Linked DNA regions of Lepisosteus oculatus. The protein of the gene in region 2 binds, or shares a complex with, the protein of the main gene of each other region. Links are inferred from orthologs where the notes say so. Each region holds a gene or a part of one and is shown on either strand. Other genes may lie near its edges.

Evidence for each region.
Region 1: polr2k (region 2) and taf1a share a complex: the UniProt entries of both Homo sapiens proteins name them as parts of the pol I pre-initiation complex. The link is inferred for Lepisosteus oculatus from reciprocal best matches to the Homo sapiens genes POLR2K and TAF1A.
Region 3: polr2k (region 2) and gtf2h5 share a complex: the UniProt entries of both Homo sapiens proteins name them as parts of the TBP-based Pol II pre-initiation complex. The link is inferred for Lepisosteus oculatus from reciprocal best matches to the Homo sapiens genes POLR2K and GTF2H5.
Region 4: polr2k (region 2) and taf1c share a complex: the UniProt entries of both Homo sapiens proteins name them as parts of the pol I pre-initiation complex. The link is inferred for Lepisosteus oculatus from reciprocal best matches to the Homo sapiens genes POLR2K and TAF1C.

What each region holds. Positions count from the first base shown.
Region 1 is NC_090697.1:42,661,921-42,670,087, forward strand, and holds the start of taf1a (TATA box-binding protein-associated factor RNA polymerase I subunit A), read right to left. Parts: upstream 3,261-8,167; 5' UTR 3,210-3,260; coding exon 3,192-3,209; exon of another isoform or gene 3,068-3,191; intron 2,546-3,067; coding exon 2,518-2,545; intron 2,276-2,517; coding exon 2,147-2,275; intron 2,017-2,146; coding exon 1,847-2,016; intron 136-1,846; coding exon 22-135; intron 1-21. Other genes in the region: mia3 (transport and Golgi organization protein 1 homolog), read left to right, coding at 6,476-6,596. UniProt on the Homo sapiens protein: Component of the transcription factor SL1/TIF-IB complex, which is involved in the assembly of the PIC (pre-initiation complex) during RNA polymerase I-dependent transcription.
Region 2 is NC_090705.1:8,621,020-8,629,145, reverse strand, and holds the start of polr2k (DNA-directed RNA polymerases I, II, and III subunit RPABC4), read right to left. Parts: upstream 3,561-8,126; 5' UTR 3,557-3,560; intron 2,979-3,556; coding exon of another isoform or gene 2,775-2,978; intron 1-2,774. Other genes in the region: intermembrane lipid transfer protein VPS13B, read right to left, coding at 2,775-2,978. UniProt on the Homo sapiens protein: DNA-dependent RNA polymerase catalyzes the transcription of DNA into RNA using the four ribonucleoside triphosphates as substrates.
Region 3 is NC_090697.1:48,833,731-48,841,370, reverse strand, and holds gtf2h5 (general transcription factor IIH subunit 5), read right to left. Parts: upstream 3,140-7,640; 5' UTR 3,034-3,139; intron 2,347-3,033; 5' UTR 2,302-2,346; coding exon 2,267-2,301; intron 1,566-2,266; coding exon 1,385-1,565; 3' UTR 764-1,384; downstream 1-763. Other genes in the region: protein SERAC1, read right to left, coding at 5,329-5,465, 5,662-5,805, 6,225-6,407. UniProt on the Homo sapiens protein: Component of the general transcription and DNA repair factor IIH (TFIIH) core complex, which is involved in general and transcription-coupled nucleotide excision repair (NER) of damaged DNA and, when complexed to CAK, in RNA transcription by RNA polymerase II.
Region 4 is NC_090698.1:66,526,508-66,534,380, reverse strand, and holds the start of taf1c (TATA box-binding protein-associated factor, RNA polymerase I, subunit C), read right to left. Parts: upstream 3,370-7,873; 5' UTR 2,970-3,369; coding exon 2,817-2,969; intron 1,809-2,816; coding exon 1,700-1,808; intron 1,037-1,699; coding exon 984-1,036; intron 488-983; coding exon 392-487; intron 1-391. UniProt on the Homo sapiens protein: Component of the transcription factor SL1/TIF-IB complex, which is involved in the assembly of the PIC (pre-initiation complex) during RNA polymerase I-dependent transcription.

The DNA.
Region 1 (8,167 bases), on a different chromosome or scaffold from region 2:
GTGAAAGCTACCCACACCCACCTTCTGAAAATTCTTCACTCCAATGTTTTTCAGTCTCTCCAGGAAAGAATTGAAATCCTCCAGTTTAGCATTAGGAAGGTGATGCAGAATTTCTGAGCCCATCCTCCAGATTACCTGAAAAATATTAGCAAAATCTGATAAACATTTTGGCACAATCGGTCTAAAACACGTTGATATGACATTTTATTTGCTTCCATTTTATTTAGCAGTGGTTTTCTACAACACAAACCGCTAAATCCATGACAAGGGTGTGAAAACCTGTTTCATAAAATGATTGCACCCCAAAAGAATCATACTCGGCCCGACTTCAAATTTATTTTCAAAAAGTCATTCCCTGTGAAGGGGTAAGACATAACTACCCAGAGTCAAATGATTTTTTAGAAACGACAGCAGAATACCTGTTACCAGTAAAGAGTATGTGAAATTGTATAGGGCAAGTTACTCTACTGGTGACTCTGAATACTGTCATAAATATAATGTTTTAGCTGCAATAATGCTTTTTCAGCAAAGAGCATGTAACGCAAACCATGACCAAATGCATCTCCCTAGCAGGTAAACTTGTACAGGTCCCATTACATCATTTGTTTTCCTTATACATTTAATCCCTCAACATTAATATGGCAACCTTATTTCAATAGTAGGGATTTTTATTAAACACTCTTGTAATAAAATAATAAACGCACTCATCAAAAACAACTCTTTTCCTTCAAGGATATTCTCCAACTTTTAATGTGAAAAAAAGTATAATTTCACTTTATTGGTACAGTTCTTTTACCTTCTTTCAGGGAGGCTGAGGACTAAACTGAGATGAAAGCATGTGTAGTATACTTGTGTTCAGACATCCACCACATTGGGTCACACAGTTCCTTTAGTGGACTCAGCACTGATCAGAGGAGTGTTGCAGCTCTCATGGACAACACAGAACGTTCACATGAGCCCAGCAAGCTAAAGGGGTCGATGTTGTACGTTGTATGACATTTTATCTGTGTGCCATGACCAACTCATGTCCACCTAGCCCCGGTAGTGCCAGGATAATCATGCCCTACTTTTTAAGAGAATCTCAGTCACCGAACAAAATGAGACACCAGTGGTTTGAACGAGCAATGACCTTTTTAGGGTTCAAACTGAATGCACCTTTAGTGGACCTGAGAGCACTTTTTGTTTTTAAAAGGGGAACACTGCGATGCTATTTTTATATTTTGGGGGTTAGAAAGAATCAGCATTGATGAGTGCATTTCAAACCACAATGAAAGTAAAATGTACACAGTAATGTGTAAAACCTGCAATTTACATCATAAAATAGATTACATTTCCAGCTATGCTCAATGTCTTGTTCTACAATTCAGAACGAGGCAACCAAACTTCCACTGAGGCATAGCAGCCCTATGACTTTGTAAACAAACAAGCTTGTGAATACATCTCTTGTAATCCAACAGAAATATTGCTCTCAACCTTGAGAAGGTTTTGCCAACAAATACTACTTTTTTGTTAACTCTGCATGCAGATCACGTTGGAACATTTCTGCAGTGAAATGTCCGCTACACAGCCTGTACTTATTCACTCATTAGTCATTACAGTGACTAGTGAGCAGGAAGGGCCACCTCATATCTCAATCTGCACTCTTGCCTGTGCCAAGAGCACGGGTTTGTGACTATATGACGACTATACAGTACTTTCACAAAGCTCACCAGTTTTTGCTTAATTCGGAATTTGTAACATTTTATTATACCAGCAATTATTTTTTTGTTACATAGATATAATAACTAGTCTACAAAATTGTGAACGCAGTTCTTCTTTAAATTAGTGCAGTCACGGCCACACTCACTTCAGGTGATACAGTCTGCTTCCGAACAGTTGTGTCTTCCAGCGTTTCAAAGTAATTCTTCATGTATTCTGCAGCCTCTTCCCAACGGTGCTTGAAAAGAGCTTCCTGAATTTTGGTCAGGCATATTCTGGAGCTTTTGTGAAAACCAGTCTCTCTCCTTGGCAACGTTTCTAAAGGAGGAAACACAAATCCTTTTTACTTCCAAGAATGAATACAAAACAGCCTTTCAATTATTTTCGGTAAGCCGATAGGATAAAGGCTTGGGCACTGCTTTAAAACAGTGAATATTGAAGATCTTACCTTTGAAACTGTGCAATAGAGGCAAATGAGGTCGTCCTCCTATTTCAGGACTACAAATCTGCTGTTCATCGTCTAAACTGTCCTGCTGGTCAGACTGGGATAATTCAGCACATAGGTCATCCATGTCTCCTAAAAAGAAAAAGGATATGACATGTTCCTGTTGTGAACAGCTAAAAATGACAGGTGAACTCTTCTACTTTATAAGGTTTTCAAGCAAACTGTTAAGAGGGATTAAGAGGCTCATACATAGTTTGACATAAAGTGTTACATTTAATTATAGCACTTAAAACGTCTTTGCAGCCCTCAGTAGGGCTTTTTATCTCGTTAAAAAAGGAAAATATTAAGATTTAAGGAATCCATGATAGCAGTACCTTGCTTTATGTTCCATACTGAATTCCTCTGAAAAAGATTTTCACATATTGATCAGAAAAAACATCACTAAATCGAAGATGATCACGCATACAAATAACATTAAAACGTCTGTCCTATTTGCATATTATGTAAGTTACTTTGTATACTAATGATTTTCCTCACCAGAACCCTGTTGAAGAACCAGTAACATCCATGCCAATTTCTAAGGTTTAGTTATAAGGTCAGTTTTTTAAAACGTTTTGGACAACACTTCTTATTCGATTGCATTTGCTTAAGCACGACCTAAAACGCAATTTACATTTCCTGATACGAAGTGTATTAAAGGCTATACAAAACACCGGAAATACAGTTTATGATAGAGGAGGCTTTCGTATTGTTTTCATGAAGTGTTTGAAAGCTGTATCGTCTGTTCTTAATTCAGCTCACTTCCGAAAGTAAGAAGCACACGGTAATCCACCTTCCCAGTGTTACGACTTTAAAAAACTTCAAACGCGTAAAAGAAACATTTATCTGAAATCACAACATTAAACATAATTCAGACAACCAAACCTGCTTGATAAAACGTCTTCGTTCATGTTCCAATTATAAAAAATGACATAAATTGGTTTCTTGACTATTGAAACGATATTATGTTCATTTTGCACGAAAAAACGACTTAATCGTATTTTAGTACATTTTGATCACCACACATGTAGACTCCAGGACCTCCCAAATTTGACAGTGCGCATGCCCACGGAAAACAGCAACATGGTCTACGTCATGGACGACGACTCTGACTCTAAAGCAGAGTTCCTATAGCGCAGAAACCTGCAGCAGTGTATCTGCGCAGACCTAGAGCATAATGTTGTACTATTGTGGTAGCCTGATCTGACAGTAAACGTTATTTGGACCTTCTGGTACAAACATGTATTTGATTTCTTAAGCTTTTATTAAACACCTTATGATACAACCAAAGCAGAAAAGGTATCGAAAAAGACAAGTGAAGAAAAATAATTAATCATCAACAATACGCTGCCAGAAGGAATTACAAATCAGAAAACAATAAATTATTTTTTTTGGTTTTGTGAATATATCGACCCAATATTACTAATTATGTATAACAAATTAATTAAAACTAAATATTATTTTATATGCTATGTTACAAATTATAAATCTAACACGCAGTTTTATATTCAATTCAGTTCAAAATACTTTAGTTATTATGAAAGTAACAATGTGCAATGTTTAAGAAGGTATTAAACTATTTGCACATTTGTAGAGTAGGGTGTTATCCAATTGACGTCATAGTGATAAAATTTCTTTACATTCATTGTTTACAAGCCTGGTGGCCTCTGGAGCAAACCAAACTTTTATTTTGTCTTGTGCTGTGGACAGCACGAAGGCAAAAGTTCAAAAGACTGATGAAAGACCTGAGATGAGCCTTCACTGATGTCACAGGCCTTCCTCAGGATCTGATGGACACAATGCTATGCCAGAGGTCTTAAAGGCTGTCCAATGATTTCTAAGCTGAGGTTTGCAACATTTTGAAGGTGTTTTTTGCCTCTTTGACTGAGTGAATTGAATCTACGGTTAAATGAAAAAGTTAAAATACTTTTGATATAAAAGCTATATATGGAAGCCCGTTTCCGCCAGGGAGTAAAAAAAACGGAAACGGGCTTCCATATATAATACCTTTAACATGCTGATAGAATTCTTTTCTGGATTCTGTGGAACTGTTTTCTCAAAACATATAAGTAAAAATAATAATAATTGCTTACACTTATATAGCGCTTTTCTGGACACTCCACTCAAAACGCTTTACAGTTAATGGGTCTCCTCTCCACCACCACCAATGTGCAACATCCACCTGGATGATGCAACAGCAGCCATAGTGCGCCAGAACGCTCACCACACATCAGCGATCAGTGGGGAGGAGAGCAGAGTAATGGAGCCAATTCATAGAGGGGGATTATTAGGAGGCCATGATTGCTAAGGGCCAATGGAAAATGGAAATTTGGCCAGGATGCCGGGGTTACACCCCTACTCTTTTCGAGAAATGCCCTGGCATTTTTAATGACCACAGAGTCAGGACCTCGGTTTTAGGTCTCATCCGAAGGATGGCGGCTGTTTACAGAATAGTGTCCCCGTCACTTTACTGGGGCATTAGGACTCACACGGACCACAGGGTGAACGCACCCTGCTGGCCCCACTAACACCTCTTCCAGCAGCAACCTTAGTTTTTCCCAAGAGGTCTCCCATCCAGGTACATATATATACTTGTGTTCTGTGAGACTGGAAAGGAAACATGTTTGTTATTTGTTGTTTTGGTTGTTTTAAGTGCTTCACAATGCTTCACAATGACATCAGTGATCTCAGGGAACTTAAGTTTTTCCTCAAACACCTCAAACCCAGATATTTGTAACTGTGAACTATACCAACTGATTCACCATGGATGGTTGTGGGAATGCCAGTGCTTTGTTTGTTTTTTAGATCAACCATTATTCTGTTTTTGACACAATAATCTCAAGGTAAGAAGGATCACACCAGTTGACAAATTCATCCAGAATGGGTCCATGTGTTTGTCCAGGCTCTGAAAGAAGAGAAACAGCAAACCTGATACAATGATTTTCATAGTTGCTCTGACAGTCATCAGTATATAAAATGAAAAGGGGGAGAAAGAACGCACCCTTATGGTGGATTAGTAGAAGTACAGAGTCAGATACCAACACATTAATAAGTACATTTTGTGTACTTAGTCAGAAAACTAGGATTTAATTTGAACGGTGAAATCAGCGTTTCAACCAAAATATGTGACTGCATTGTATTAAAGGCTGATTAAATATCAGCAAATAGAAGGTGCCTAACGATAAATGCTTAATGATACATTTTTGCAAATCTAATCAAAACAACAAATAACAAACGTGTTTCCTTTCCAGTCTCACAGAACACATATATATATATATCATGTTGTTCATGTTTAATTCTAGAAAGTGTTAGTTTAACATGAAAAAACCTATTAACAATTCTAAATGTTGTTTTTTGTTTTCCTTGTTTGCACTGGGATATCTATCAGGGGGTTTTTGGACTAATTCCCCATTAGTATTTTCAAATACTGCATTCAAGAGGGATATACAGCGAGAAATAAATCTGTGCTCGATTTCCTTGACAAAATCACGAGAAATAGAAAAATACAGCCTCAGAGATGTTCCTCACATGGAAATGGCCTATTTTGACTGTTAGGTCACCTCTATTGTGTTGTAAACATTATATTTTTGCTTCCACAAGCGTGGTAATCCATAGAAATTCCTAAACCTCAACAGAAAAACAATCACAAGGATTTGCATGAAAATATACAATTCATACTAGAATGTGGATAATTTAGACATAAGGTGTATAACTCCCTCGTCGGTACGCAGTTTCACCCTACATTAAGATATATAAACGTTTAGCTAGGAATTATTTTATGCTACATCTTTTAAAATTGTATTTAAACACTTTGTGTTCTTAATCATAATTTATGTATGTCTGAGAGAATACAACAGCATAACTCCCCAACTTCTCCAGACTGCGCTTGGGGTAGGATTGTGACGCAGATAACTAGAAACTTCTCTCTAGAAATGGCCGATTACAGGGCGGAGGGGAGCTCCCTTTTCATTTTGGTAGTTAAAAAAACACTGCAGATCTGTTTAGCTTTCCCGAAGAACTGTTCTTTCTAGTTACTATTAAATTTGTCTCTAGAGAAAAAGGCAACACCTTGCGTTTTTATAATCAAAATTCTGTTAAAGACACGGAGAAAATAAGCTCATGGCTCTTTAAATAAAACTCCTCATGGGTTTAGTTTTAGTAACTTGACTCCGATCCTTTTCCACATCCTCCTCGTACATCCTGCATCCCCAATTCTCAGAGACCTGCGGATCTGCTGACGTGTCGGCCGGTTCTGCTCATGCTCGGGCAGTCGACTAGCAGTAGCTTGCCAGCATGGCTGCTGTCGTTGTGGATTTGTACCTCCTAGTGATACTTTTTATTGTAACGGGATCCGAAAAGGCAGTAGATAAAAGGTTTTCGGACATAAAGCGATGTAACGACGACGAATGTAGCAGTAAGTTTTGCCATTTTTTCTTTTCGCTTTCATACGACAGGACTGTGTCGATGCGTTGCTAGAAAAAAAAGATGCCCTGGCCAGCCGGCATCTGCTTTGACCTGTTGGCACTTCAGACGGAAAGCTCTCAGAGAGACCCAACACACACTGCCCTAGTGCAAGTTGAATATAAATATATTTTTTGTGATACGTATTTGTCAGGTGAATCACCGGTGACTTGTGATAACATTCTCTGCAATTTTACGTTTGGGAAGCATCTTAATGATACCCGCTGAATTATGTATGCATATATTTTTCTTACAGCCTATTGGAAAATTGTAACTTAAGCACGGTTCAGTGCAATTTTGTTAGAAAGGTCATTAATTCTTGTTAAAGGCGCTCTTGGTGTTAAGTATGATGAGGGGGAATTGCTGTATGCTTCAGTAGTAACGTACATGTCCTGAGCTCAGATTTTGACTTATGGGTAGAAAATACTGTTTTGTGGTTTTAACGCATTGGTTTGTGGTATATTGATATTACTAACGATGCAATGTTTTGGTTTATTATTGTATTTTTGTTGTCAGCATCAAAAATCCCTATAGAAATAAACAAAATATGGTCAATAATTTTAAAATGACTGGCACCGTTTCCAAACCTATCACTTTCACCGAGCAGGATACTCTGCGCAATTTCCATTGTTCGGGGTAAACATTCAGAATGACCAGATACCGTTGTTACCAAAAGGGCAGTGTTAAACGAGGATAGACTGGAATGTGACTAAATTGAATGGTTAATATTTTTGCTGCTTTTTCTCATGTTTCCTGCAGTCCTTTTGGCACAATCCACACTTAATCTATAGATAGAAAGTTCTAAGGATAGTCACGTTCCTTAGTCGCCAAATTGACATTATCACGACAGTATTTGTCAAAGTAATTGCTGCCATGTTACAGTAAATATAGGCAGAGAATAGCACTAGTTCTTAATCTGTGCACAACATTGCAGAGGTATTTTATCAATGCATGATGTTATTTTCTCTATGTCTCATATAAAAGCAGTTGACAGGCTTTGAACATAGTGTGGTAAGACAGAAATGTACACTAATTCTGAGAGTACTTGCTGAAAATCTGATTCTGTTTTGGTTTTGCAACTTATTGCCATTAATTCTTGAAGCCTCAGGCTAGTAGATTCAACATATACAAACAGGAGCATTAAGTTAATCTTGTTATATGATTTAGGCCTCTTAAGGTTTTTTTTGCTTATGTACAGTTATACAGTACCTAGTCAAAGATTCACTTTTTTCAGACTGCATTGTGTATTCCTTGTTACATATTTGTTGACTATAGCTCTCTGTTTTCCTGATTTCACTTTTAACTACTGTAAAATTCATTTATGGCTTCCTGTTCTTATCACTGGAAGAGTTGTCCCACCAGCTCAAATTACACTTAACCGAGTGTCTCCTGTGTTATGAATGATAAGACAGGAATCTATGTGTTAAACACTTTTCCGTACATATATTTAATCGTAATGGAGAGAATGCCTTTGATATTACTTCTATGCCTCGCACATTAGATTACTTTTTGTATACAACGGTT
Region 2 (8,126 bases):
AGGGAAAGGCAGCATCTTCTTGTAACACAATGAACCTTATAAGACCCTCATTCAAAACAAAACACAAACAATCGTAATAAAAATAAGCATTGTGGGAAGATTTTTTTTTTAATGTGGCCACCAACAGTCTTGAGCTTTAAACAAAAGGCAGGATTACGTGATTAAGGCAACTTGCATAAAAGTTAAACAATGCCATTCATATGAAAATCCTATCAGAAAAGAAAATAATTCTTCAGGATCGCAATCCTACACATCTTAGCTTTTATTCATCACACACTGTATATGGGTTTGAGGCAATGACAAATTCAAATACTGTAAACGTGAATGGCAAACATGGAAAGCAGTATTAAAATCCATTCAAGGAAAAGTAAATCAGGCTGTTTTAACAAATAAGGTAAATAGATATTTCCTCTGTGTTTATAAAACCATATAAAATAGCAGAGGTGGGAATGTACAACCTATAGTTCAGTATGAAGTAATACTTGAAACTCAAAAGAACATACTGTACTTCAGGTTATATTGCATGATATGCAGTATCATGGCTTTTTAAATAATTGGGAACCTGTGTTTCCAGGCAAAATAAAGCTCGTGCCGATATAAACAGGTGATATCAGATCTGCAATAGACAAAGACTCTCATTTCAGACTGGTGACGATGGAACCAAATCACAGCACCTTTAACGCAATGTTCTCCCAGAGCCAGGTACAAACAAGGCAGTGCAGTATAAAATATAGCAGGTTAATTAATGATAATCTCACAACGTACTACCTACTATGAACATTTTCTGAAAATATAAAAGGATATCATGTCTTGTCTGGGATAATTCCTTAAAAGTGATTTCGGAGGACAGATGAGCACCCCAGCACCTTTGATACAGAAATGTGGTTCTTGATCTCCCTCGCTATGGAGGTCATAACTAGTTAAATAACAAGTCTTTGCTGTACAGTCAGAGCTACTGAAAAGGGAACAAAATGACAGAATGTGGCTGAATTCCTAAAAATGATACAAAGCTCAAATCCTGAAAGAGTTCAAACAGAAGACCCAGTGTCTCTTGGCTGACGTCCACAGTAAACTGCACAGTGTATGTGATTGCAGTGTGACAGTCGTACCAGTACTCCTCAACACTAAAAGCAGGTAGGAGAAGCCTCTTGCTTTCCATCTGCCTGATTCATGATGGTAAGTGTTCCCGCAACTAAAAAATGATGTGACCTAAAAAGCACTTTGTCAAAATCAAGCTCATGTTGCTTTTACAGAGCGCTACATTCTTTAGAGGCTACTTTCAGTCAACAGAGAACAAATTTGAAATTCTTTTCTTTGTGATTTTTGGGCCTGTTCCTTTTCAAAACAAGAGCTAAAATCGCATAAGCCAAACAGGCCATTAAACTTGCTTGTTTTAGCTCCCTGTTCCAAATTTTCAGAAGCAAAGATTGAAAAAATGCTTCTTGAAAATGATATATTATGGTGAATAAACTTGATTTGTGTTTAAAGTTGACCTGCAAAATGACTTTAGAAAAAATGGATTGTTGAATATACAGTACGAGTGCTGAATCAGATTTTTTTTTTAAAAAGATGAGCTTGACTTTGTTTGACAAGCCTGAGAACCATCAGAGGCAGCTGAGACATCTTAGCTGTAGGAAAGGAGGTGGAATTCTGGTGCTGGAGGGCTTTCATTCCATCTCTTCTCTTAATGACCTAAATTATTGGCTCAATTGGACCAATTTATCCACTTGAGGTGCCGAAACCTACAAAACCTGCAGGCACACCATCCCTCCAGGACCAGGACTGGACACCTTTGCTGCAGGGTAATACACTGGCTTAGGCAAAATTAAACATGATGGATTTCTGTATGTATGCAGCATTATTCAGATTTATACACAACTTAAATAAATTCTTAACAAGCAATAATATCTGGAAGAATGGTAAAAAACCCTCAGAGCTGCCAGGCCCTCACAGCCCAATACAGGAAGTGCCCAGTCAGTGTAATCCCTGCCAGAGGAGGATTTACAAAATACTCTTTTCAGGAGTGTGAATAAATGTGATTCTTGTGTTTTCTGGAATTCCTGTGACAAGTGACATTTGTGACAAGTATGCCTTTGAACTGTGCAAAACTACCGTGCTTACAACACAACTTTTTTAGTTTAGAACTCTTTTAAAAACAATACACTGAATATACAGGCACTGAAAGGTTAACCATATGTTGAGCATTTAACCCCATGAAAATATCTCGCATGAAATTTAAAATGAAGAAGGCTACTTCTATTGACATTTCGCAGCCCAACTTCATTTTGATACTGCTGACAATAGAAAAGGTCAAGTGGCAAACAACCCTGCTAGAAAAGGAGAGTACCATGCACTGCTTATATGAATAAATCTGAACTGTATTAATTAAATAATGTTTGCCCCATGCTGTTGTCATGCTAGAAGAATTGTGGATTAGAATGTAAGGATGGTTACAAACAACAGGAGGCCACTCAGCCCAGCTAACCCAATGCTCCCTGTAGTTAAACGATGCTAGGATGTCATCCAGCTGTTTCTGGTAAAAACAAAACACAGAGCATTGGCAGAGTAGTGTCTGGGTGGCCGGATCCAGACCTTCATCCACTTAGCATGAGCATTACCATCATGAGCCTGCACAAGGGGACCGAGCCGGCCGGCTCTCTCTTTCTCCCTCGCTCCCCCGGATTGGGCCCTGCGCGTTTGAAAAGCGGACGGACGCGGGCCTGACGCGAGGCCTGGGACCCCTCCCCGGCAGAAAAACGCCAGACCGGCGTTACCTGCTGGCCATGTTCCACTCCAGCGCCGGGTTCTGTGAGCTCCGCTCGCTCTCCGCGGGAGCGCCCCCCTTCGCCCCCTCCTTCTCGGGCTTCAGGTGCTCCCACCGGGCCGTGCCGATATTGATGGACTGCAGATCGACCTGGTACTGCCGGTCTTCCACCTCCGACCCCGGGTCCCGCAAGATCCCCAGATTCGAAGCCCTCCTACAAACAGGAAACACACGGAGAAATCGTTCTTTCATTGGCACGGGGGATGGCTTTTCTTCAGCTCAGCGATTCTTAGTTTAAAACCCGGCCTTGTATTTTTTTTTAATTGGAAGGACATCAGATTGGAAATATGGAAATAATTGGAAATGCTCTACTCGAATGATTTTATTATTTTAATGAAAACAACGTTTGCTTTGACAAATGAATTTATTGTCCCTTCTACTGTATCTTCTTGTACTTTCTCAAGATAGCCCTATCTAGCATTACCGGTGATCAGATCTCGCAGCTGCCACTTCTGCTGTGTGTGATCGATGTTACATACTGTACATCCCCAGCGCGTTTAGTTTCTCTCTATTAGGCTAGGAAATTCTCAAGCAGCTGCCATTTGATGATGTCCCAATCACTAGATCTGCTGTCGATAGGAAAACCACAGTGACATAGAATGACTTACAACTTACAATGAAATCTCACTTAAAACTAGTTGTTGCACACTTGAAGCGCCCAGATTTTATGATAACTGGTTACAGTATCTGTTATGAGACATTCAAAAGTAGCACATTCAAAAGCAATGTGTCACAATTAACACTAATTTGAGATGAGGCACTCACTTCTGAAGTTTGCTAGCACAAAAACAGCAGGAGCAGACTTGCTTCTACTTATAAACTTTTTACTTAATTTGTTGTTTTTTAAAAATTTTTTACAGGGAACCCCACATCCTTTATGAAACCAACTAGAACTGACAATTTTATTCAATTTCATCCTGAAGCATATTAACAGCGCACGTACTGTACTTCGTTACAGATACTATAAAGAGATGTTCTGGCAAAAAGAATTGGCAAGTTCTGTTAGCTGTATGTTTTTTATTCACTTTCAGTCAAGCAGGTTTATTACCAAATTAAAATTCTGGAAAAACAATATGTTGATAAATAACATGACCCTGGCAAAGCAGGAAGAAAATAAATAAAATGACCTTCAGGTAAAACAGTTTGCCTCTTAAAAGCTCTGATTTATGCCAAGTTATAATTAGTGGTAAATACTCCAGTTGACTTAGCTGGATTGTGCAGTAGTTTTAAGCCTTCTTGAAGGACTGAAATGAGAACAGTTTGTTTACAAATTTGAAATCCATGAAATCCTGTAATACGTCAGAAAATGCCTCTCAGTGCTAAGTGATCTGCTCTTAAAATTCCTCCCTAAGAGATTAAACACACTCAATGATGTCATTTATTTTGCTTTGGAAGACAAGATGCTGTTGAACACATGAACTAAATTTACATCTGCAGATGACATCAGGGCTTACAGTTATGATATGTTTATTTGTCCTGGTGAATTCAAATACATTTTTATACTGTAAACAGAGGCTCAAAATGGCAACAGATGTTAGGACAGCACGAGTAGTTCTTTTTGTTTGAGCAATTATCAGTGGTCATTTTTCGTATATTGTTTCTTCATTCAGTAACACACAGCAAGCGTTTAACCCACAGAAATGTTACAAAAAACACAAACACAGCCGACACTAAAAGTCTGAGATGCACTCGATTTTCAAACAAACTTTTACTGGAGCGGTCTGAGCGCAGTACCTTGCTCGTGGTTTCAACAGCTGTGTCTCAACTGGGATTTGAACCCACGACCTTCCAGTTCAGAGTCCAGAACCCTAACCACTCCTCCACATTGCGGGATTTTAGCTGAAAAGACCTAGGGGTGCTCTGATCCCTTTAATGTTTCACATTCCACTTTAGACAATAAGAAAAGGTACAAATGAGAGCAGGCTATTCTGTACATCAAGCATTGGCTTTGAAAAAAAAACAACAATGATAATAACAAGCAGTATATTAAACATGCACATGATGACTAAAGCAAATAACGTAGTGTTCCAATATGCCAATCTGGCTTGTTCCTGAGCCAAACCTTTTTCTTTTAATTGGAGAAGAGACCACAAAAACATTACATTTATGACAAAATTCTGCTATTTATAAAACTAGATCAAAAGCAAGTCAAGAAGAAAGCTTTGTTTCTTAGCAATGTAGTCATTTTATTAAGCATTTCTTTGCAAAATCTAAAACCGTTAACTCCTAAAAGCCACAGAAATGCCTTTTTTGGGTCCAAGGTTTTAGTTTAAAAAATGCTAAATAGTGTGTTCCCATGCCAAAGTCTTAAAACTGTTACTTTATTTGACTAGCATTTCATGCACAAACAGTAATTTATTTAATCATAGGAAGGTGTCACACTCTCATGAGATAAAAGCTGTCCAATGTGTGATGGGAAAGGAGAGCTCTGTTTTCTTTGGTTTCCATACTGAAGGCACAGGGTAAAATCTCAGCTACTGCAGGATCCCAGCAGCAGCTCTGATGAGCAACCAGGTACAGTAACTCTACACGATCTCCAGACACCAAGGACACTTCTCCACTCCTTGTGGATTTGGAGCAACATTTCGTAGCTAGTAGATGCACCAGTAGGAAATTCCTCAACAAATCACAAAATCTCAATCAGAAAAAAAAACCAAGATGAAAACAAAACTTGGTATTGTAAATTTTCCCTAATATATACAGAAATGCAAATTCAGACCTCCTGCATACTATTGTTGAAAGAGATGACAGAGGAGAAAACACATTGTTTGCCCAGAAACTGAAATGCTCGCAGGACTAAATAAACAAACTAAACAATATGTCATAAAATATCTCAATAAATTAGTAGGCGGGCAATTTCCAAGTCGCAATTCTGTAGGAGGATAAAGGAAAAGCCACAGTAGTTAGTGAATAAAAGCAAGTTCCTAATTTACCACAGGAGGTTGCATAATGAGAAGGAAACAAAACAGCTCTTTTTCAGATGACAAAGTTCTGGGCAAGCCTTTGTACAGATGCCAGCGTTGGTGCTTTAGTAACACCTGCGCTGGCAAAAAAAAACACTTTATCTTGCATTGTGCTGACTGATGACAGCACTCTAGGCAGATGCACAAACTTAACTTGGTAAACCAACGGAATCGGACGTCATCTGCTATATTTGAGGTGATCTGCTGTATATGTTAAAGCAATGGGTAGCATCTGGATTGCTGGTGGCACAAAGGCAGAATGGAGCAGAGACCTTGAGCACCCAGCTCTGACACTGTGAAAGGCACTCTTTACTCAGGAGTGGATGTACAGTATTCTCACTGGGCGGCCCAGACTAAATTCTGTGCATTAGGTCTTTTCATCTGTCAGTCCACAACTCAGAGGAGGTCGCAGAAGGAACTGCACTTCAGCCCTTTTCATTCTACCTGTTAACAACTCACACTCAGCATGCCTGATAAACTATGGCAATCAATACTACCGACAGCCCTGTAAAGTACTTCTGAAGAGATAAGTTTTGACTTCTCTCTGCTGTGATCCAACTGTGAACCAGCTGCTATTTCAGAGTGGGGCCTCCTGTTTTTTTTTCTTGCTGCATTTTCTGAGGCAGAAAAGGTTAAATGTGGTTCAAGGTAATAAAATAAACCATTCTGAGATGTGCACCAAAGATCTCAAAGTCCAGGGCAGGCTTATCTCAGTGCTGTTGGCTATTGAGTGTGTGCTAAGAACTGCAGTTTTCAGTCAGCAAGAGGCCCTGAAAGCAGAACCTGGTAGTGCCCTGATAATACTGGGGCTGAATATTTATTTTTTTCATCATGTGGAGTCTGATTTCTTTACCAAACCTTAAAACTTTTTTTGCATGTTCCAAATATTCTAAAAAAATTCAAGGCACAATGTGCATTTGTGAGTGTTTAGCGGTTTTTTACACATTTTGCACACGATGTACATGTCTTTCTGAACTGTATTGGTTTTACATAAAAGCTGAACACTTTATGAAAAGTGTTCATGCTGTTGTGTACACAGTAACTGTTTACAATGTCCAGAAAAACAAGGATTTAGAGTCTTTGAAATTACATTGCACTTACTGTATTTAACTTTACACATTTCTTTTCATTCTATTTTTATTGTTGATTTTTCTTGAAAGATTCAGATTTACATTAAGAAATAACCATGCCGTGTGAAAATCAGCCACTATGCTGTTCTTTGAAAACAAGATGTTTCAAGCGCAGTCATTCATGGGACTTGTCTGCTGTTTCATTTGCATGCAAGCCTCATAAACTACATCTCCTCCTGCAGGCCTAGAACAAGCCTTTCATCTCCCTTCCATCTTACTGAGAACATAAGGGTTGGATCACGCTCTCACGGATTTATTAAAGGGAGGGAATTCATAAAAATATAATTCATGAATGTTGCAATTACTCAGTAAGTTTAAAACCCAAACTGATGGTGGTCCATTCTAAACTGCCTAAGTACTGTGACTTTGAGTAGCAACATTACTGAGATTTATTGGTTCAGTCAACTCCAATTACTCCTAATTTGCATCTAAAAGCATTGCAATTAGGTCTCTGAATTGGAACACCAAGTAGTCATTTAAACCCAACAGGAAAATAACATTATCAGAATTTAACGAGTCGATGAGATTTGTTTTTCAAAAAAAAATAATTAGGGTCATGTTCGCAAGGTTTTGCTCCACTCTACTATATAAGAAGTGGGGTTTTTTATCTCCTGAAAAAAGAATGGCCATCAAAGAAACAAAACAGAGGTCTGAAATGAGAACAGCATATTCATTCAGCATATCTCGCATGAGGGTTTTACGCCAGTATTAGATCAAAAGCATCAGCAAAATCTAATCCATGAAACAAACTGATGTGGACATTAAAAGAACAAAAACGGTTTTGTTCATTATATATTTAATATATTTTTAATGTGCAGATTGCCAGATGTCAAGACACCTTCCTCCTTAAACAGCATTTCAGAAATAGCATTTCTAAAGAAGCAGCTAAATACCTTATGGAACGGGAACCAATACCCTCCTGAAGCATCACAGCAAGGTTTTTCACTAAACCCAACGACATCACCATCATCCAGTGCTACACCCCCAACAAACAGAAAGACACCATCCTCTTAACAGGTAATGTCATTGCCAACTCTGGACAGGACAACAGTGGCCATGAATAAATCGTGGGCAAGCGTGCTCTTGGAGTAATACGTGAAAATGGAGAGGAATTCAGTGATTTTTGTGTATTTTATTGGAGGGTCTGTCTTCCCTCTCAAGACAATGCAAAAGGCCACACGGGCATTCCCAGACTGCAGGGCCGAAAAC
Region 3 (7,640 bases), on a different chromosome or scaffold from region 2:
AGAGATAATCAATTAAAAATTAAAGTGTTTCAGTTTTACTGCTCTGATATTAAGGTATGCTAGTGGTTCTATATTGTTCTAGAAAACCTCTTTTATATAGTACAACTATAACAAATGCCTTCAGCTTGCACATGCTGTGTATGCTCTGATAGGAGTTGTATGCAGGAAACCACATCAGATCCATCAAAATTGTTCATGGGAAAACATCTCCTGGTTCCATATGACACACAGTGCACCAGAGCACATGCACATGAGTTACAGCCCAACACAGCTACGGAAATAAAATAATGTCTAGCAAAAAAAAATCCCGAACTACAGGAGATGAATGTGTAGGTTTTATCCTATTTATGGAATCTAGTGAAGTATTTGTAAATATTTTCATATTAAAACGTAAACTACCTGAAAAAATATAACCTTTTCTAGAATGTTTAAATGTTTGTGGACCTAGTCAACATTTCTCCAGTTAATATAAAATAAACTTTTTTTTTTCACAAGAGCATCAAGTTTTCTTTTATCAGAACAGCAGATTACAATGATTCCCCAGCCATCCAGCTACTATAATGGTGGATGTTCATGATCAACTACTATAATCAGTATTTGTTAAATATAGTACCTAGGATATTTTCACCACAAGTGACAAAAGAAGAAATAAATATTATTCATGTTTTAGATATTGATTTCAAATGCATTTTCATGATCTCTCATACCATAATTTAAGCAACCCCACATCTGATTGCAGTAAATTCATTTTGAATCAACTACATAACACAAGAGTTGTCTTTAATGCACTGTTAAGAAAACAATTAACCACTGCCCCACAATATGTAGAAAAGTCAATACACTATTTCAAGCATGCAACATGTTGAATAACATTTGTAGATTCAGTGTAACTGGTTGTGGTCTTCTCAATTTTTCAATATATGAACTTTTTACTTTAAATTAAAAACTATAAATTCTAATCCCACAATTCTTTTTAGTTGGGCACACATTTTGGTATGTAGTAAATAAGAATGTGAATTCATTAAGAACCAACTAAATAATGCACAGTTGTCCTTTAATGCATTGCCAAGAAAACTGAAAGCCCTTGAACATCTAAATATTAACTGAACCCCAAAATATGTGGGACAATGCTTCCTCCATTACAGCAATCAAGGATTTTTCTTTATTCCTGAAACAAAATTTTACCATCCCCAAATATTTACAATTTCACTTTTACAATATCTGAGGTATACCTTTATAATTTGTATGAGTTGTACAATGAAAAAAAATACAAAAGTTCATATTATAATGTGGACACATTGTATACTGTAGAGCACACTTAATAAAACAAGGGTGTAAGTTGTTTGTGCTGAACATGGTCTTCCATTTACATCTCCATGTTGCTTTATTTCTGAGTAATAGGAAACGAGTTCTGGTCCATTAACTCTCCCACTCTCTCCTGTAGGATTTGAACTACTTCTGCTAAAATGAAGACGTGCGTGTCATCCAGGTCTTGAATGATGAATTTCTTCCCCAGAGCAGAAGTTTCATCCAAATACAGAAGAAACTGCTTCATGGCAGGATCACTACATTAAAACAAATACAAATACAAATACACATTTTAGAAAATGCAGGAATCTGACAACATACAGAGTGACTCTGTAAAAGTACTTGCTTTCTTTGAAGATTTTAGGTTACCTGTGTTTAGTTTTCTTCTCCTAAAATATTATAGATCAATAGTTGAAAACATTAGTAATATGATTTTACAATCTTGGACATTTTCTTATTATTGTACTGTATGTTTAAATTGTCACTACACACAAACAGCTTTTTAGCAGCTGCAGTTCACATGGAGCTCAGAATAGGAATGAGAAATGCCTGGATTTCATGAGTAAATTTCAAACAGTAAAAGTTGCCCAATGCACATTTAATGACAATTAGCCTATATCATTATTACACAATACTACAATTTGAAGCAAAATTATTGGAGACCCATTAACTGCAAATGCATCACCTCACTTAACCTCATTTCTTTTAAAAAATGGTTTTACTAAAAGCATTACAAATATTTATCCTACTACCTCATTAAATATCCTGAGCATAGCATCCTTAAGTTGAACACTAAAGTATCTTGAGAATGACTACAATCGATAAAATCCAAATTTTAGCCACAGAAATAAGATAAAAAGCAAAGTGTTTTAAACTCTTTAAAATTTATTTTACAAATAAGGAAGTAAAGGCACAGGGATATTTTTGAAATACAGGTAAGTTCTTTTGATGTACATACCATTCAACAAGAACTCCTTTCATAACATTCACCATTTTTCTACTTGTAGCTGTCCCACCTCAGAGACTCGTGATATGCACCTAGAGAAAGGTAAGTTGAAAACCAGGATAACTCTACAGTATCAATGATATGAAATAATGACCTCGTGTTCATTGTTCTGTACTGCCGTTATATATTACTGTGCTTTGTTGTACTGTCATGTTATCATTTACTATACTGTGAAGTACTGTGCACACTATGTGAAAATGTTGTCTTTTGTACTGTACTCGTCCCGAGAAAACCGAGCGAAAACGAATCCTAATGTACATATGGCGAATAAACTCCTCTCTCACACACACTTATGCATTTTAATGGTTATGCATGCATTCTTTTCGAAATTTATAACACATACAAACATGGTAATTGTTGTATCAGAGGAATTAATTATAAACAGCATTTAGATTAACTAACGCCATTAAAAACACCATCATTACTATTGAACAACCTATTTGTGTGGGTTTTACTACCAATACTAATGCACAGTATTAGACTGAAATACTTCTAGACATGCCAAAGAGCACAATGAGCTGCTGTATAGCTACGTGTAAAGGTTGTTAGTCAAGTTTCGTAAAAGCTTCACTGGAGCTGGATTATTTCTTTAATTATAATACAAAAATACACAGTCCTAAAGGCGTGCTAAGCAGAAATGCTAAACGATTTAGCTGTACTAAAGTTCCGTAAATAGTTTTTTTTTTTAATATCGAGAGGGTGAATAAGTGAAAACTCACCTCTGTAAAGCTACAAATCTCTAAATTTCAAAGCAGTGTACCCGTGCGTTTGCTAATATAACAGCAGCCGGTTACTTAAAAACAACCATGCGAAAAGCATTGTGGTACAGGATTTGTGGACGGAAAGCTAAACAGGACAAGATAGACTGCATTTAAAGGCGCAGTACACAACCCATTGAAATTGTCATGACCGTTTTGCCTGGTTTCGCGTAAGAAAAGGAACTTTGTTAAATTCTTCTGTTTCAAGAAGTAGTCTCAAGCTTTTATCTTCGAAAGGAATACTTAACGTTTCTCTTTTTAAAATTGTCTTTATCTCTCCACATTAACAATGCCATATGACATTGACATTCTCCGGATAAACCTCAGGTTCTTTAAGTACACCGTCGAGCCTTAAAAGACCTTAAAATTGGATTGCATCTTCTTTATTTACTATTTGAACTATGCTGCGATCTCTGAAAGTATTTTAACAACAAAGTTAAACCTTTGATTATTTGTTTCTATTTGTGATCGTGAGATTAATATGAATAAATAAAATGTTATTTTGGGTGCATGCATAACATGATATTCATTATATCAAAACATATCTAAAACATATTTTGTGTTCATCCAAGTGATCATAAGTATTGTCATATACACAATAAGCACTTTTTAGAATGTGAAAGTCAGTAGTTTTTTTTACATCTTAGAATGTGCCATCATTTGAGATGCGTACCTGCGGCCAAAGTAAATTCCTGGCTAACATTATCAAGTAATCTTTAACAACCAAGTAGTCAGGAAATTAGTTCAGTGTCTTATCTGGAGGGCAACATTACATACAGCTGTTTCCCTGGTCACCATGTTGGGGTGCGGCAGGTTTGGAAACTTTGGTACAGAGGATTGACATCTTATCCATTAACACCACTTACAGCAGCAAACTGTTTTCCTTGGAGACTGGCCATCCACTACAGATCATACCGTGGTGTGTAATCAATGGATCCACAGCATCCTAGTAGATTACTAGAGAGGATCTTTGGTGTGTTTTTGGTACACTGTAGAAGAGCAGTGTCCTTACAGATCTATACAAGTATACCAGTTTTCACAACACATGCTAACGAAGTCACAGTGGGTATTATTATTATTATTAATTATAATTCAAATCCTTACTTTAAGCATTAATATTATACACATTGATAATCTCACCCACAAAGTGTGTGGGGAGGGGTTGTTGGCCTTCTCTTGTTAAACAGCCTATATCTTTGTGTAAGGGGCTTGTTGTCTCATTTATTGGTGGATTTTCATAAAACAAAGTTTCAATTATATTATAAAATAACAGAGAGACATAGTCAATAGATCATTCAAAATTAATCTTATCTGCAAATACAGACAGGAAATGTTTACGGATGATGTTCACATAGTATATACTGTAATTGGAACGGCTTTCACAGGATTCCATGTAAGTAGGTACAAGGCAGACATTTAAAGAATAAGAATATTCTAAAGGAGAAAGCAACATTAAGAGACAAAGTATTAATAACCACACAGTTAATGTTAAAAGTTAATAACCACACAACTCCCAAAATGTAAATACAAATGCAAAAAATGTTTTAATAATATGGCATTCAAATATCATGTGATATTCTTTGAATATAAAGTGCAATGGAATTATACTTCTGAATATTTATTTGAGATCTGGTACCAGGGTTTGTAAACATGGGTTAAATATATTTCTTATCATTTATAATAATAATTTATTTAGTTTTTCCGCAATGCAAATTAATTTGCATTTCTGTGCAATGACATTTTAAGATTATTCATGAATAATCTATTTTACAACAGAAACAGTAAACTTAGTATCTTTTACAAATATTTAGTTCATGTAAAAGTAAAGACCTTCTATAATAAAAAATATACAGTATATATCACCTGAAGATTATAACTTTTATGTTCTTGTACACAGACCACTGCTCTATTTTTCCTGCTCAATGAAACAGTAAACTCTTGGTAATTTATGTATCCATGTCTGAGGCTTAATTAACACTGACATATACAGTATGCTATTAAAAATGCAAACACTACAAAACTCTTAGTTTCTTTTCCTTTGTTATCAAACTTTCATAACATGCAGTATGTTCTGTTGAATACTAATGTTATAGATCTGCTTTCAGTAACAAAATATTACGAAATCTTTATACATATGCAATATGGCAAAATAATGTCAGGTTTTTAAAAGCTGGATTTGAGTTTTAATTTTAGGATATGAACACTTGGGGAAGGTGCTTTCAATATATTGTCCGTATTGACAGTAATACGTTTTTATTAATTGTTAATGTGGCTTTCCAGTGCATCTCTGATGAACTGTAAACTGCGCTTGTAAAGGAAAGAATCCTTTTTCTGGGGTTTGCAGATATTTAGATGATCGACATCCACTTGAATGAGGTCGCCAATCCCCAGATCTGAAAAATTAATGGTAAACATGATTAAACGTTACATCAAAAATAATCAAGTGCTACGGTTTCCTGAACAAATGAAAAGAAATTCACAATATACAATCCCATGTGTTTTGGCTTGTGCTGCTTAATTTAAGTTATTATTAATTTCCCTTAATATACTGTATCTATTTTACCTCCCCGCAGGAGCCTAAGCACATACCTGCAGACTGCACTGGCACGACATGCATCTTCACCATAGGACCGATGCTGGTGGGTAGTGTTTCTGCAAAGCTTAGTATCTTGAACTTCCTTTCCTTGGCCATGCACAGAAAGCGTTCATTTAGTTCATTAAGTGCAGGGGAATCTGAAAAATGTGAAAAGATGTATTATGGATAGAAAAATGGTCATGTTTACTTAGAATTAAAATGGAATTGAAATTCCATTATCTTAGAATTAAAATATGCCACTGAGATGCTGTAAACATGGCTTTGACATATTAAAAGGTAATTTCCGTGTTTCTAACAACAGAAAGGTGTTCCCCTTTTAAAACATCAAACGTTTTCAACAGCTAGCAGTTGAGAGAATAACACATAAATCGTTACTATTAGTCTTAGGAAAAAAAACAACCAGGGCAGTGTTTGCATACATCATAACAAGAGGCATGCAGTATGTTTTATACTTCTTGGCACTGTGAAAATATTAAACCTAAAAAACTAACTTGACTAAATCCAATCATAAAACAAAGTGAATAAAAACTTTACCGAAAACTTTAAGTGATCTTACCTTTGGAGAGCTCCTTGACTTCTACCGAAGGAAACAGCAAATATTTGACAGTGACTGAATACTCAGCAATAGAGGTTCCATGATGAGGAACACTATAGAACATGATTCCTTGTGTATTTTTAATTAAGGACTGCATGTCAGGGTCCTTTAAGGCATCAAGGAGCATCTGTTTGACCAGCAAACCTGTGAATATAAGGAAAAACATCTAAGGTTGAAAGAGAAACTTCTAAATTCAAACTTGTAAAATCAAACAGATTCAGTTTGAACATGCCATCCATACAGTAAAGGGTAGGAGATGCCCAGTTCAAAATAAATGATTCTTTTTACTTTACTTCCTTATGTTCTATTCTTTGGAGGAGAGGTTAAGTGCAAGGCCTATCATAAGTGTCATTGCAGGAGTAGCATAATTCATCCTGTAGTCTCTGTAAGTTGCCTTGCACCTTGTCATGGAAGAGAAAAAGTCCCCAGAAACTGGAAATTCTTTGATTAAAAGCATACTGTATAAGATATAAAAACTGTAAAACAGACCTTAAGCTAAATTACATCTAGTGATGCACTTATCATAAGCTAAGAGGAAATAAATCCTAAGAAGTCCTATGACACCAGCAGGAAGGATTCTCAATACCACATGTTGCATGACTTATCAGTACTGTATGTGTGGGGTGATTGTTCATGATCTTAGGAGATGCTGGCCAGCCCAGTTGGACCCCTACACGACCTTGCATGAAGCAGACACCTAAGAGTTATGACACCTTTCCCTAGGATTCTTTCACACGACCTACGCGTGTTTGTAGCACTCACTACTTTTCAACTGAGAAGATAATTCTAACATGTCATGTTAGATGGTGTCTGGATGCAGATCTTATACAGTATAAAATTAAAAAATTGTGCCACATAGGCTTTGGATGCTACATATGTAGGTGAAAATTGGAGAACCTTTTTCTGGATTATATACTCAAGAAGGTGAGGATCTGGGGTAAAATTTGGAGAAATATAGTTGACATAATATCTTGTAGATATGCTGTAAAAGGAGAGATTTATCTGTTTGGTTGTATTTCTATGGAAAGCAAAGTGTTACCATTTGTTACCTAACTGATTTGACACAAAAACACAAAATTCTTGACCAGTCTTGACATTTTACTGGTCTCACATTTATTCTGATAGATGATAGCACTTGCCCCCATCATTCCAGCTGTTAAGCAGCACTTGCTGGCAAGGTCTCCAGCCTAAACTCTAACTGATCATGTCCAGGTCATATGAAATCATGCAATTGCCATTTATGTTGTTCAATTATGGATTCCAGATGAGCTCCAATTTGTTTTAGTATAGGAATGCAAATATCTTCTTAAGCAAATATTCTGACATATGATCAACTACATGGTACTGCAGAATTTTACTGATGCTACAGGTTACCAG
Region 4 (7,873 bases), on a different chromosome or scaffold from region 2:
GACAAAATATCAAAAGAAAGGTCTTGTTGAAGTAATATAAAGCTAAGCGCCAACCCACAGATAATCAGACTTGATTCAAATTTTATGCTGGAAGTGCAGCAAAAACGTTGAAAATGAAGATCAAAAAACAAACTTAATGTGATGTTTTTTGTATTTTTTGCCGCCATTTTACAGCACAAAACATTCAAAATACACACACAATAGTATAGAATCACACTGAAGCCAACTGTAAATAATGAGGCCTAGACTTCAGAGCTACACCAACAGGACCAGAACTGAACTAACTGAACAAGATTTGTTCTAAAAAAGCAACTAGGCAACAACCATGGTTTCAATGCACTGAAAGACAGCGTTGCGCTTTACAAAACCCCACCAATATAGCTTCCCATACCTGTAGATTACCGTAACCAAAATAGAAGTGTTCATCTAACAGACGGCTCATAGTCCCAAAGGCATCTTGATGGTTATCCAGGTAGAAATTCCGCAACTTCAAGAAATGACAGAAATAAAGCTTTTAAGACATAAATAAAAAACAACACCAACTCTTTCAACCCCAGAATATGAACCATAGTTTCACAGTATACATTCAGTATCTACAATCATACAAACTCTATTTTAACATAACTCGGGGTACTGTACTCTTACAATGTTCAATCTGAATCAGTTAGTGCTATACAATCAGAATTGACTAGTATTTGCTTGAATCTAGAAGAGTTACTTCTCAAGCACTCAAGAGGATTAAAACTATATTGGACAGGTTCAAACTGTAAGTGTAACACCAACACATTGTTCAAAAACAAAGGCACAAATGAGATGCCAGGTTATTCTCTGGGCACCCATTTACTAACATTTACATTTTTCCGTGGTGAGGTTTTCCTGAAGCCTCGTGTCCGTAAGCAGGAACCAACATGCCTTTCAACTCAATTCACTTCCAAACTCTCAGAGAATCACAAGATGTTAAAATAACTTGCAACACCACTTACATGTTCTGGGAAGTCTAAGGCATGAGAGTTAGCTGATGAGGGAATCTTGCAATCTGAAGAGAGGGGAAAAAAGTGATTAGAACAGATAAATACTACACATATGTAAATCCACCCCCTCCCGATGTTTTTTCCTTGTCTATGGTTTTTTTATTGCATAATCTTGTAAATTGTTACTGTATGAATGTATTGTATTCTTCTTGTAACCTTCTAGCAAATTCTGTCCTCTCTTACTTCCAGAATCTATATTTCTCCGTTTTTTATTCCTCTTTAGGTTTTGCTGATATTTACCGTAACTCTTTTTCACCCTTAAAATTCTTCATTTTGAGCCATTCAGGTTTGGAATAAAATGAAGAAGTTAAAAAAAGTGTGCACATCATTTTGTTATTTCACAAGTGGCATGACAAAGGAAGGGTCTGAGTACTTCTAGAGGGGGGGGCCTGTAACTGGATCGGATTACCAACAACTGTGCTTGAACGGAAGACCACCGATTGTGCGCCCACTGGAGACAGGAAATACCGCCTGCAGCATGGTCCGAAGCAAAGTATCGATCAATCAATCAAGGTTTATTTATCAATGCACGAACAGTACAGCATACAGCGGTGTTGTTGGGAATGAAATCCTTTATCCACGAGATCATTAAGAGGGGGGTAGAAGAAAGAAATTTATAAGGATTAGGTTAAAGATTAGGATACGATAAATGACACTAGGCCAGTTACCTGAATTCGGGGGCAGCAAGGGACATACAATGGGCTCTGTCGGCCTCCATTCCTCTCCTTTTACTTTGTGTTGGGCTTCTATCTTGATCTTACCCTCTAGGCCAGCATTCTGGAAACACCAGGCAAAGTTAAAAAAAAAAAATAATTATAACAACAACAACAACATCACTTTATTAACCTTTTACAATTTCTTGCATTACATCTTTTCGCATAGCCCAGCTTGCTCTCCATGAGACACACGGACAGGGAGAGAAGCTGGGGGTCAGAGCGCAGGGACTGCCATTGTACAGAGCCCCTGGAGCAGTTGGGGTGAAGGGCCTCGCTCAGGGGCCCAACGGAGTAAGATTGCCCTGCCGGCTGCGGGATTTGAACCCGCAACCTTCCAGGCAAAGGCGCAGATCCTTAGCCACAGAGCCACCGCTCCGCCCCAAAAAAAGATTGCTGAAAGAATTGGAGTTCAAACTCCGCAGACACACTGCCAAAACTAATGCTCTGGGCTCTTACTTAACTCTGAGGGGACCCGAGACAGGTATTCAAAATCCTCAAAAAGGCACCAAACCCTACAAGACTTGTTGAAAATCAGCCTTGCCAGACGAAAACAGAAAACAAAAAGACTGCGGGAGTACGGAACCAGTTTGTCGGCCACGTTGTTGAAGACGAGCCCGTCGCTGCCTTTAAGACACTACTGGTTGACATCCTGATCAATGAGTTAAGTTACGAAACGATGTACCGTCGGCCTCCCGTCATTTGAAATCTTCCCAACACCGTCATGAAATACCACTTTTGTATCGCGTATATAGATAACCGAATGGATCAAATTACTAACTTTATTCTAGGTCAGGCAAAACAGTTTTTTTTTTCCCAGCCAGCGAGCTGGCAGATAATGCAACATAAGGTTTTGCATGATCTTATTGCAAAATATTTGCAAAATAAGGCGATACATCCCATTCTGCTCAAGCAAGCACTTAGGCGAGCATGCAGGGTGAAACGACACCCCACCAAAACAAGACGATTCTTTGTGCATTTGCATGTGCAAAAACGATCCGAGGCTCTTAAGCGGCAGGTTCCTGCGCAGGAGCTGCTGACGATCTGCGAGCGCAGGAGCTGAAGTACTCACCTCCGGCACAAGACGGTCCACTCCCCGGATCTGGCCGTAGACCCCCCAGCCGCCTACAACCGGCAGGACGCCAGCGGTCCTGCCCGGAGGCCCGGTGTTGTAGGCCTGGGGGAAAAGCATCGGGGGAAACGCACTGTCCGTACGCCCGGCCATGTCTGGGCTCGACCCATGTGTCAAACCGGCCCCGTTTAACCCCAGCACTGGGCAACGAGGCGAGCGCGTCTCCCTTCCGCTCCGCGCTGCGCTGCACGACTAGGTACAAACCTGACGGGGTTTTTTGTTTTTGTTGGTTGGTTGTTAAATTAATTTCCCGACACCATCAGTCCGAAACAAGAACGCGTACGCGCCACACGTGTTCCTGTAAACGAAAGGCTCCGAAAACGGAAGCCAACGCGGCAGGAGGAGTCTGTTTTGACGCCAAACTGGGGGGACTGGGGGGTGGAGAGAGGAAAGAGTGAGCCCTTCCCCTGGATGAGACCGGTAACCAATCGGAGGAGAAGGAGCTCGCCAAGGCCCTTCAGGCTTAGTGGAAAAGGGGGACGCCACTACATTCAAATTCAAACAGCTTTATTGTCATGACCGCAGTGTTACAGTGGTGCCAAAGCGCACACGGCGAATACAAAGGTCTACAGACATTTACACAACACAAATACATCTTGGGACATGTACAGCCAACACATAGAACTGACTAAAACCGTTTCCATCACTAACCGGTACGTCGGTTACCGGCTGTTGCCAAATTTGGAAAAAAAAACAGCGATTATTGTCAAGGCAAATAACCCTGGCCTCTGCGAAACTTGAGCCGGCAAGAGTCCAGTGCAAAAAAAAAAAACTTTCATTAAACCCGGTTTCAGGCGTACTGTAGGTGCGCCACCACATTTGGGAGTCTGGGGTTTAAACGTAGCCTAAGGTGTAAATTAAACGTCAATCCTTTTTACTAAATTGTTTTTTTTTCTTCTTTTTCGTTTGGTCGTGGAGTAAAGAGTATCAGCGGAGAACTGTTTTATTTGATCAACGACAGCTGTCCATTTTTTTAATGTTGGCGATTTGTCTCGATGCGTTCCACCAGCTGGTAGTTTTTTAATTAGTTTTTCTTAGGTCATCTGTTCTACAGTATAATCGTAATTTGCACTGTCGGTCCATCAATGTGATCGGCAAACCTTGCCAATGAAGACCCAATTCGAAGAAAATGCAAATAGCAACTTTCAAAGAGGGGTCTCTGCAGGTGACGGGGTGGATTGAAATTATTTTTTTTTAAAAAAAGATATAGACGCTTCTTTATTGAGAAAAAAGAATCATATACAACTATTTTATTCCCTGCCCCTGATTGATAATTAAGCGTGAAGGTCAATTCAGTAAAAGTCTATTGGTCGGTTTACACAATGATGTATTTCGGTGTCAGGGCACTTTTAAAATGCCGCTTTGTCTCACAGTGTCCGGGGAATATGGGGCCAGTCGCTGCCCTAGTCTAGAGGGAGGAGGCGCGACTGTACCGGCGGAGAGGAGAGGAATTTAACGGAGAGAGAGGCACTAGCTGTGGAGCACAGGGCACCACTTTCAGGGCTCACACATTTCAGACACGCTGCTCCGGCTTCAGCCAGCAGCGCGAGAAACTGGGGGCTCCCTTGGCGGCGGTGTGGGAGGGGACCCGGCTGCTGAGCCCTCAGGTGTGGGGCTGCACTGAGACCACCCGCAGGACCCCAGAGCGAGATGGAAACTCCACTCAAGGCGGGCGACGGCTCTCTGACATGGGATTGGGAGGAAGGGGGCAGATAGTAACACAAACAGGTTGTCCCATCGAGTCACGTGTTCTGACGCTCCTGCCGAAGGCGGATGGGCGAGGGGACTCCTGTTCAGGAGACAGGAAACAGAAACTAGCTCTAGGGGTGCCTTGTAAATGGATGACCCTGTGCTCTGACCCCCAGCTTCTCTCCCTCTCCGTGTGTGCATGCGAAAAGACAAATTCCTAATACCAGAAATTGTATATGGCCAATAAAGTGATCTTATCTTATCTCTTCTCTCCCTCAGAGTTTCTACGCCCAGTGAAAGGATAGAGGGATAAATAAAAACATGTTTTTTTTTTTTTGCTGTAGTCCTTCCTGTTATGTATTACTCCTGTTATGTTTATTACTCCTTCAGTAATAAAGGTGGCACACCTGTGCCTGTGTTTTACCAAGGTCTGTGCTCTTATGCCCTGAATGTATGGGTTCTGTTTCATTATTATTCAATGGTGCACATATCTACTTGAAGCATATACTGTAGAACAATAAATAACCATTCACTGAATGGAGAGTCACAGGGTTTAATAAAATAATCTTTAAATGTTCCAAAGAATCATCAATTGATGTGAGCAGGAGACTCACATGTTCTTTAAATCAATCCACCTTTTAAGTGAATGAGAAAGATAGGAGGATTGATAAAACTGTTTGTAACAAATTTGTGACAAGTTTGTAACAGTATTATCAAGCCCTCCTTTTCTTTGTAAGGTACTTTAGAATCGTAATATTGATTTAAAATATGGTGACACACAAGCTGCCACAGATCTATGAAGTTAAGCATCTAGCTGGGTCAGTAGTGGGATAACAGGTTGCTGCTGTAAGTGGCGATGTTGGACCAGTAGGTGGCACTCTTTCCAAGCCGGACCCCAGTATGAATGGTACATAAATCCAAAGTCCTGACTACTTGGTCACTAAGGCTCTTAATGATAGAGAAAAGATACTAATCCTGGTGTTCAGGCCACATTACACACTGGGCGTGTTCAATCTGGCCTTTCTAAAGTTGCCTTGCTGGCTTCGGTCAATTGCTGAAGCATTTCTTCACTAACGGATCTGCTGTGTACTGGCTCATGTAGACTGCTGCCTGTCCCCTACATCAGTGCTGTGTTACATTGGTACATGAAGTGGATCTCATTCAATGTCTAGTTGTGAGATCCTCAGGGATTAAAAAACATGCCATATACTGTAAATGCAAGGAATTGTTATTATTTTACCTTAAACATGAGAATGTATGTGTGGTTACAAAAGAGAGGAGACTAGGTGACCCATCTAACCTATTTGGTAGCTAGAAGTTAATTGAGCCAAGGAACTTGTTAAGACATTTCTTAAAAGTAACCAAGGTATATCAGCTTCAACACCATGGCTGGGTAACCTGTTCCATAACTACACAACCTTTAATTGTCTTAATTAATTGTATACAAGCTTCTCCTTCCTATACAGGGAACTCAATGTCCCAGCTCCCAAAAAAGTAACCTTTTTCAGACTGAAAGTCACCCAGAACAGCAGAATGTACATGTGACCACATAACAATTTGTAATTTAGGAAGCATATGTTGTTATACACTTACCGACAAATGCAAAATCAAACAACCTACAACTGGGAGCTCAGCAGGAGCAAGTGAATTCATGATTCTGAGGATTATCTTTGGCTATAAAGCTGCATAAAATAAAATAAAAAATGATCAATGGGGACCAATAGCAGATCATAAGGGGAAAACGCTGCGTTCTTCGGTTATGCTCCACCTGTTACTAAAACAAACGTAAAATAATCTAGCAAGTCACTAAATTAAGAGGTACAGATTCAAAAAGGAGGGACGAAATTAATACTATACGCAGTGTAAAAAAATCGAAACACTTTGCATTTTTAAAGATGACCTCTACTTGTCAAAGACATATACGAATATTATGTTTCGTATCCGTGCAAACCCTGTTTTGTTACGTCCTAATTTCACTTCATGCAAATACTGTTCCAATTTGGCTATGAATGGGATGATAGAGCCCTATCTCACCTTTACCTGCCCAGCCACGTGACCGTAACTCTTCCTTTTCTACCGGTTAGAAAGAAATGTTTGTGTTCGCCCAGGACTAAAATGTCTCAAGTCGTTTGCTCCTAATTCGAAAGGTTTACCACACAACAAAAACCCGGCCGACCCGTTTATCTAGTTTCTGAACAAGGTAGCCATTATTACGCTTGCGAAAGGGAGTGAGCCGAAACCTGCGCTTAGCTTGTGACGGGGAAACGACTTGCTCGTTAACATGGTTCAACGGGTTGAAAGGCGAAAAGAAGCGTAAAAAAAGAAGAAGAAAAGAAACAAACTACCGAAATATAAAGGAATTTGGTAAGTGTTTTTTTCAAGTCTCGTTTTAATCGCATCCCTGCGCTCATGATTGCTCTTCAGGTTGGCTCTTACCTGAGAGTTTGAGTTAAGCGTGTTTCCCTCAACGTATGTAGGCGTTTTCTATCGCATGATTTTAGAAGTTTTGAGCAGTTTTACAACTTGCGATATAACTCATAAAAAAAAACTAAAGTCTTGGGAATATATTAATATTTTGCATACAACGTCCTTACATTCCGCTTGCATGATATCTAAAGAGACTGAATTGACGTCGGAAAGTTTTAATGATTCAAAAAAAGTTTTTTGTTTTAAAAAACCCATTAGAGCTGATATTCCCACTTGTTAACGTAAACACTTAGTATTCTTTTTATTGAGAAGTAAATACGCGAGATTATGGCTTCTCACTTTGTAAGCACATCGTTTTACCTGGATGTTTGACTAAGTCAGTGATCGCTGGAAATAAGTAGAATTTAGAAATTCTTTTAGTCTGGATGTGTATATATATTAATTTATGATGTGAAAAAATGGTAGCTCTCTGTGCTGTTGGATTTCATTTGCTTCATAGCGATATTAATTAGCTCGTGCAATCCTTTTTTCATACTGTAAAGATGTTTATGATCGGTATGGTAAATGAACCCTCCCCTTTACTTGCGGAGAAATTGAAAAAATTGTATTTTTTTAGCTGATCTACTGGATGTCAGGGGCTGACTGGGGAAATATTTCACCGTTAGAACAGATGTAAGCCACTATTGTTAACAACGCGAAGGTTATTGCGGAGGAGTGGAGAACAGTTGGTAAAACCTTCTTTATTGATGGGCGTAATAACGAGCCTTCGTGGGTGATCTCTGAGATTCAGAATTCACGGTTATTTGACATCGGTTGTTTTCCAGTTTGGAGGCTGAGGAAAAGGTTTATGTCAGACTCAGTCGGGACGACACGCCTATCAA